Linked DNA regions of Macaca fascicularis. The protein of the gene in region 1 purifies or fractionates together with the protein of each later gene. This does not show direct contact. Links are inferred from orthologs where the notes say so. Each region holds a gene or a part of one and is shown in the gene's direction. Other genes may lie near its edges.

Region 1 (4,275 bases):
ATCAAGACCACCCTGGCCAACATGGTGAAACCCCCTTCTCTACTAAAAATACAAAAATTAGCCGGGCGTGGCGGCACGCACCTGTAATCCCAGCTACTTGGGAAGCTGAGGCAGGAGATTTGCCTGAACGCGGGAGGCGGAGGTTGCAGTGAGCCGAGATCGAGTCACTGCACTCCAGCCTGGGGGACAGAGCGAGACTTCGTCTCAAAAAAACAAAACAAAACAAAAGTCTTCCACCACCGCGCACAGGGATCCAGTAGGATTTCAGGTCCAGAGTGAATCATACTATGGTCTCCACTCCCACATTTTTACACGACGAAATCTGTCTAGCATGTACAACTAATAAAAATAGTACAGGGAAAAGAGGTAATGGATAGGCAATTTATAGCCAGAGAGGTGGGAGTGTAGGTTTTGGGTCCACCATTTTTTATTTTCTTGATAAGGAGCCCTTTAGGCCATTTTAGAACTAGTGTCACTGCCTGCCTTCCTGGGTCTTTGCCACACCAAAGACTTGTTTCCTCCACTAGACAAAAACATGGATGGCTGGCCCAGTTCTGTCTCAAACAATGATCGTGTAGAATCAAATAAGGCCCTCTGTAAACTATAGCATTTTACAGACTGGTAAGGTAGCAGCCATCTTTCCAAGGTATCAGGGAACAGCGAAGCAGCTGATTAAAATAGTCTTGATTACTTGAGATACAGGAGGGTAGGAATAACATGTGGTAACTGAACTCCATAGATACTATCTAAAACCGCATTCTAACAGGCAAATTTAATCTTTCTGAGATTTGCCTCTTTGTAGAGCTCTAAAAAATAAGAAAAGGAGAGGGGTGTAAAATGCCACTTAAGATTTGTTAAATTTCTTCTCCTTTTGAGCCCTGTCCATAGGTAGATGGAATTAGGGCAGAACAAAAACATTAAGAATAAAAGCCCGAAGGAGAGGCGCGTACATGTGAATACAAGTGAATACTGGGGTAAGGAAATGAGTTATGCGGAAAAGGCTTCAGACCATCCCTGGGAACTGTTCCGGGTCCGGACATTTCCTTTGGCAACCTTCCAGAGTCTGAGTCCCCAGGGCTCCCCACTGCGGGAAGGGAAAGGCGCGCGTGGCTAGGCGCGCGCGTACACGGGCACTCACGTGTACACACACACGCGCGCACACTACACATACACACACTGCCCATTTCCTCCGCTCCCTCCCCGCGGGGGGCGGGTCTCTTTCTCTTTAAAGAGCAGACGGTCTCCGCGCACACCCAGGCTCTCAAGGCCTCGGGGGCCCGGGACCCGAGCTGCTCGTAGCCAATGGGAGCGGTAGAGCGGCTCGAGCGCGGCTGACGCTGCACCAATGGGCGATCGTGGGGGGCGGGGGCAGCGGAGGAGACACTATTGTTGATGAGGAGCGGCGGCGGCGGCGGCGGCTGCACCACCTCGTTGCTGCCGGTCCCGGCCCGGTCGCCCCCTGCACCCCGGAGTCCAGCTTCGTCACCCCGCGCGGGGGCCTGCCCTCCGGCCTCGAGAATCCTCCCCCTGCAGCCCAACAACAAAACCCCCCGTCTCGCCCAGTCACCGGGGAGGGGGGGACCATGTCCCAGCGGGTGAGGCGCAATGGGTCCCCCACGCCGGCCGGCTCCCTTGGGGGTGGTGCGGTCGCCACGGCCGGGGGACCCGGGAGCCGCTTGCAGCCCATGAGGGCGACGGTTCCGTTCCAGCTGAAGCAGCAGCAGCAACATGGCAGCCCCACGCGGAGCGGCGGCGGCGGCGGCGGCGGCGGCAACAACAACGGTGGCTGCTGTGGTGGCGCCTCAGGCCCCGCAGGCGGCGGCGGCGGCCCGCGCACCGCCTTGCGCAGCACCAGCCCCACGCGCGGCGGCGGGAACGCGGCCGCGCGCACCAGCCCCACGGTGGCCACGCAGACGGGCGCGTCCGCGACGTCCACGCGAGGCACCAGCCCCACGCGCGGCGCCGCGCCTGGAGCTCGCGGGAGCCCCCCACGGCCGCCGCCACCGCCGCCGTTGCTGGGCACCGTGTCGTCGCCCAGCTCGTCGCCCACCCACCTGTGGACCGGCGAGGTGAGCGCGGCCCCACCCCCAGCCCGCGTCCGGCATCGGAGGAGGTCTCCGGAGCAGAGCCGAAGCTCGCCGGAGAAGAGGAGCCCTAGCGCCCCGGTTTGCAAAGCAGGTAAGTGCTGGGGGTCGCGCAGCGAGGGGGAGGCGGCGGCGGGAAGGAGTCCCGGGCGCGCGCTGCAATCGCGCGGGGAATGCAGCGCTGCCGCGGAGCCCGGGTGGCTGGGGGCGGGGCTGGGGGCGGTGTCGGGCGGTGGGGACCGGGCAGTGCGGCCCCGCCTTTCCCGGGCCTACCCTGCGCCCCGCCCGCCCGTCTCATTCATTCCTCTGCCCGCCCCGCGCGGCTCCCTGGCGGTGGAGGTGCAGTGGCTAAACCTTGGGCTTGAGCTGATGAGTGTTAATGATAACCCTGGCGTCCTGGCCGTATTCCTGGAGGAGTCGTTACTGCTTACCCTCCTTTGAGGGTGAGGCTAGGAGTGGTTTATCACTTTGTTTTAGGCACAAGGTTAATGTTGGCATAGCCCGTATCTGCTGCTGCTAAGTATTTCTGTTCACAAAACAGTTTCAAATCTGGGGTACTGAATGCATTAGCAGTGGCAGATTTGGATCACTGAACAGACGAGGCTGAGACCCGTGTTTTAGCATTTTCCAAGACTTTGATAAATGGGTAGCAAGAAGTGAGAATTAAGCAAGATTCCTTAGGAAGGTTTATGGGTTTTGTCTGAGGTTCTGGGTGTATTTCTGATTTTGTGTACTGATTCTGTTGTTTGAATGTAGAAAAACAGAATCCAGTGTTTGTCTCCATCTTGTTATTGTTTTAGGGAGCTAACATTCGTTGTTTTTCTGTTTACCTGGAAGCTTTCTTGGGGAAAGTCGTGAATGGAGCTGTGGGTGCCATTGGAGTCATTCATAAAGAGTAACTCAAAAGAAAAATTCAAATTGTGGGAAGTGGAAAGGAATAAAATTTATCATCTTGTTGCCTTGAGAAAATAAATATGTGGTTTTTAATTATGTATTCATTTTTGTCAACATATATCTTTGTCTTTCCCTTACTGGGATAGTTCTGTTAGAATCTTCCAGGCAGAATGGTTGGGAATTTCAGGAAACAAATTCAGATGAAATAGTTTCCGAAATGGAAGGAATAGGATGACTCTTTCTTACTGTTTATGAAAAGTTTTAGATAATACTTTTTTTAGAGATAATTGCCCTGGAAAATGATTAATAGTGTTTTCTTTTTTTGAGGTAGAATCTCTGTCACCCAGGCTGGAGTACAGTTACGCGATCTTGGCTTACTGCAACCTCTAACTCCCGGGTTCAAACGATTCTGCCTCAGCCTCCTAAGTAGCTGGGGTTACAGGCGACCGCCACCATAACCGGCTAATTTTTAGTAGAGACAGTGTTTCACCATGTTGGCCAGGCTGGTCTCGAACTCCTGACTTCAGGTGATCCGCCCGCCTCGGCTTCTCAAAATGCTGGGATTACAGGCGTGCGCCTCCGCGCGCTGCCCGAATAGTGCTTTCTAATTAGAACTAGAGCACTGTTTTATTTATTTGTATTTATATTTTTATTTATTTCTTGAGAGGGAGTCTTGCTCAGCCGCCCAAACTGGAGTGCAGTTATGTGATCTCGGCTCACTGCAACCACTGTCACCCGGGTTCAAGCAATTCTTCTGTCTCAGCCTCCCGAGTACCTGGGATTACAGGCACCCGCCATCATGCCCGGCTAATTTTTGTATTTTAGTAGAGACAGGGTTTCACCATGTTGGCCAGGCTGATTTGGAACTCTTGACCTCAGGTGATCTGCCTGCCTCGGCCTCCCGAAGTGCTAGGATTGCCCGGTCCAGAGCACTATTTTAAATCTTTTGAGAATGCAGAATGCTTTTCTAAAACTGTGATAAAAGTATTAGACTTCACCTCCCCGCTTCATAACCTCTGTCACCTGATGAACTCTTACTATGTGTCAGGTAGTTTTTATGCAAAATCTCATTTAACCTTCACTATGGCTTTTAGAGAGGTTAAGTAACAAGTTGCAGAGCTGGTATTTATTTGAACTTTGGTCAGTTGTACTCCAAAGACCATGTCTTTATATTATATCAAGGAAGTGACATCATGATGTGTAAGATAGAATGTGGGAAATATATAGCAGGCCAAAATTACATGTACTTAGTTAAGTAAATTTTTTTTTTTTTTTTTGAGACGACGTCTCACTCTGT
Region 2 (4,258 bases), on another chromosome or scaffold:
TTTCGGAGGCCAAGGCTGGCAGATCATTTGAGGTCAGGAGTTCGACACCAGCATGGTCAACATGGTGAAACCCTGTCTCTACTAAAAATACAAAAATTAGCTGGCCGTGGTGGTACACCCCTGTAATCCCAGCTACTCGGGAGGCTGAGGCAAGAGAATCACTTAAACCTGGGAGATGGAAAAATCATTTTCACTAAAAATTATATTTAGCGCCCAGAATGGTGGCTCAAGCCTGTAATCCCGGAACTTCTGGATGCTGATGTGGGAGGGTCGCTTGAGCCTAAGTTCGAGATCAGCCTGGGCAACATGGAGAGATCTCATCTCTACAAATAATTTAAAAATAGCTAGGTGTGGTGGCAAACGTCTGTTGTTCCAGCTGCTCTGGAGGCTAAAGTGGAATCGTTTGAGCCTAGGCAGTCGAGGCTACAGTGAGCCCTTATCACACCAGTGCACTCCAGCCTGGGTGACAGGGCAAGACCCTGTCTTTAAAAAAAAAAAAAAAAAAAAAAAAAACTTTAATGTTATAATCCAACAATTCAATACAAACCTCCTTCAATTTTGATGAAAGCTAAGAATTGGAAACCATTTATATAAAGGTGTCACTTGGTCTCTGGCCCTTCTCCCTTTCAAACTCACAGGCACAGATACTTTTGGGGCTGGATTAGCATTTGCGTTGGGATGCACGGCGGGGAAGGTACAGGATGGGAACCGACAAAAACAGAGCCAAGCTGGTCAGGTCGGTGTCTACCCCAGAATTCGGGGACATTTCTAGATCCTGCAGGAAAGCGCGGGAGGACCTGACTCAAGCTGGCCTGGCCCTGAGCGCAGCTGCGCCCCTGAAGCCTGGCCCTGAGGCCCGAAGACAGCAGCTTTCGGGTTAAAGGGGCCTTGGGAAGAGAAGGGGCAGGAAGGTGGTACCCGTTGCGCATAGGCCAGGCTGCCAGGCCGCGGGGCTCGGTCCCGCGAAAGTAGTAGGTCTTCCGCTAAAGCAGAATTGTACTTTTACTCGACAGCATGGAAAGGCCGCTCAGAACAGCAGCAGCAGAGGAGAAGTCAGCGCAGGTCACAGACAGTTTCACGCTCAGAGACTTGGCCTAGAACTTGGAGGCCCGCTACTCCAGCACGCTCGCCTCCCGGCCACCCACGCCCCCACCACCCGCACTGCGCCGTTATCTGCCTGACTGACATCTTGGTCAGCCAATGATCTTTGGGGCTGCCAAAGCGCCTGCCTCCGAGAGTTGGGCGGGGCGAGTAGTTGCAATGACAAACATTTAACCCAATAACGAGGAGATTTCACACGCTACGGCCGCAATAACCAATGAGAAGAAAGAATCCTTTCGAAAGGACGTGTCAGGCAACCAACGGCCGGTGGCGCTGCAGGGGTCCCGTGGCTTCCGTTCCGAGAGGGCGGGGCGGCGTCCCGAAACGGAAGGTGGTTGTCGTCGGTGCCCAAGCTGGTTTGAAACTAGGGGTCGGGTTCGGTCGTTGTCGTTGTTTGTCGCCGCATCCCCGCTTCCGGGGTAGGCCGTTCCTGCCCGCCCCCGCCCCTCCTCCCTTCGGACCCATAGATCTCAGGCCCGGCTCCCCGCCCGACTCGCACCCCGCCCGCCGCAGCCCACTGTTGACCCGGCCCGTACTGCGGCCCCGCCGCCACCATGTCCCTGCACGGCAAACGGAAGGAGATCTACAAGTATGAAGCGCCCTGGACGGTCTACGCGATGAACTGGAGTGTGCGGCCCGATAAGCGCTTTCGCTTGGCGCTGGGCAGCTTCGTGGAGGAGTACAACAACAAGGTGGGCCGGGCAGGGCCTCGGAACCCAGCTGGCGGGGAGCGGGCCCCGGGAGCGCCCTTTCCGGGCCGGAGCCCAGGCCCCAGAACCCTCCTGCGGACTCGCCTTAGGGCCATGGAGCGGTTCCAATGTCTGGCCCTGTGCTGAAGGTTTCGTACTCGTTGTCTGTCTCATTTAATCCCGGCAGCATTCTTGTGTAGTCGGCAGTGTAGTGGGGAAACTGAGTCACGGTTTTGTGACTTGCCTGTGTCAGGCAGCTATTTCGTGGTGGAAACAGGTCTTAAAACCGGGTTTACGCCCCAAAGATACTCCATTTATTCCTCCCGTGCTCTCCACTCCTGCCGCATTTTTTTCGTTGGTGGGCGGGGAAGGGAAGAGGGAGTGGTAGTTGTGAAGGAAAATGCAGACGCTTCTATTCGCGGTCGTGCACTCTTGGCCACACTAGATTTCTATTAAGACGATCTGTTGTACAAGCTTCCCCGCCCCCTACTCCCACACCCCGGGTGTGGATCCTAGCCCTTCTGCCAGAATTACTGTTGCTCTTGCTTCCTGATAACCATTCTCTCTAAAGCAATCTCTTTGGAAATCTTGGCCTGTGGCATGATCCCGCGGTTGTTTCCTGAACACAGGATGACAGGGCCTTATCTTTTGGCTTGTTTCATGCTAGTACAGTTGTGTGACCTTTAGTAATAGATCTTGCTGGACATTCATCAATTTGAGAATCCTTTATAGAAGCACGGTGTCGTAGGGGAGCTTTTAAACTGGCATTGCAACATAAACTCATCTTTGAAAGCTGAATAAGTCAGTTGGAAGCATTTTCTTTGCTTTCTTCCTTTTACTCAATTAAAGTTGAATGATAGCGATCAGAGCAACTGAAAGCTGTGGCTAGTGATATTTAAAGCCACTACTGCCTTATGCCATGAGCATCAGATTTAAGAAGAGTAAAACTGGCTGGGCGCGGTGATTCACGCCTGTAATCCCAGCACTTTGGGAGGCCGAGGCAGGCAGATTACCTGAGCTCAGGAGTTTGCGACCAGGCTGGGTAACAAGGTGAAACGCTGTCTACTAAAATACAAAAAAAAAAAAAAAAAAAGAAGAAGAAGAAAACTGTTCAGTGACAAGGCTCATGCAGGGGGGAAAAAGCCAGGTGGTCTAGGAGTGGGTCCTGTCTGATTATTGACTAGCTGTGAGGTGTTGCACAGGCCTGTTTTATTATCTGTGACCCACAGTTTGCTGTAGGGAAGGGGTTCTGGTTTACATGTGAGGGTCTTGTAAAAAAGAAATTTGAATATTTTACAGTTTGTTTACAGTTTTTCAGGAGCACGTTTCTCTAGAGTAGGTCTTCTTTGGAGTCCTCTTTGAGAAGCTGATGAAAGCGATGAATTTTCATTGTCCAGACATTACACATACGTGAACATATTTACAAACAAATCCAAGCAATATGCACTGATCTTTAAGTTCACCCATTTCCCGGGCGAAATAGAGCTGTATTTCCTTTCCTCTGATGCTTCTTTCTTCCTTGTGGCCCATTGTGGACAGCTGAACTGGGAATGGGATTCAAGATTCTGATGTGGACACCGTGTTAGTAAAATTAAGACCACTAGAACTATTGTTTAAGGATACACGTGGAAAATAAAAAAGTATGTCTTTCAAAGAGCTTAAGCTTAATTTTTCACACAAATTAATGTTTTTTTCCTGTGTGTTTTTCCAGTGTCACGGGGTAAACAATAGTTACTCCTATTCTCCAGAGAGGAGAAACTGAGCCACAGTTAGGCTGCTGGTAGAATCAATGGAGTAGTCAAACTGCTGTTGCAGGAACTCTACCCCAGTTTGTCCTTTCTTTTAGCAACTCTCTGGAGCTTCCTCTTTGTTCCAGGCACACAGGTAGCATGGCTTAGCAGTGAAATGCAAACTAATAACCCCACTATCAACAGCGTAAGCAGTTAGCTATATCTTAACTCACATGATGTAGGCAATGTGCTGTCTTAAAATCATTTTTGTGCCTCCACCTGTCAGTAGGTCAGGGTTCTTAAATTCTGTGTGCTATGATCATCTGATACCAATAGACCCCTTCTCATAGTTATGTTTTCAAATGCATAGAACACGTAGAATTACAAAAGAAACCACTTACGTTGCACTACAGATATAAACATGTTTTTAGAAGTGGTGATGTAGTCATATGTACTTTTAATAAATATATTGATTTACACCATCCAGTGTAATTATTAATGTAATTTTGAAGTGGTGACAAGGGTAAACAGCATTTCAAGATGCTTAACTGCACCGTGGTGGGAAAAAATATTTCTCTTGCTGGTGAAGTCACAGATACTTATGCCACTGTGAGCACCTAACCCATTTGTAATTGAAGGAAATAAAACATATTTAGCTAGAGGTGAATGGAAATATGGGCATGATTTTCCAATTCAAGTTCACAGACCCCAAGTTAAGAAACCCTGCGAGACAGGATT

What was found.
Region 2: the proteins of FAM117B (region 1) and DCAF7 purify together in Homo sapiens (affinity purification with mass spectrometry; 3 studies listed by BioGRID and IntAct, with this or other methods). This does not show direct contact. The link is inferred for Macaca fascicularis from reciprocal best matches to the Homo sapiens genes FAM117B and DCAF7.

Annotation. Positions count from the first base shown.
Region 1 is NC_088386.1:98,502,202-98,506,476, forward strand, and holds the start of FAM117B (protein FAM117B), read left to right. Parts: upstream 1-1,396; 5' UTR 1,397-1,583; coding exon 1,584-2,178; intron 2,179-4,275.
Region 2 is NC_088390.1:70,058,776-70,063,033, forward strand, and holds the start of DCAF7 (DDB1- and CUL4-associated factor 7), read left to right. Parts: upstream 1-1,422; 5' UTR 1,423-1,655; coding exon 1,656-1,793; exon of another isoform or gene 1,794-1,918; coding exon of another isoform or gene 1,919-1,939; intron 1,940-4,258. UniProt on the Homo sapiens protein: Involved in craniofacial development. Acts upstream of the EDN1 pathway and is required for formation of the upper jaw equivalent, the palatoquadrate. The activity required for EDN1 pathway function differs between the first and second arches.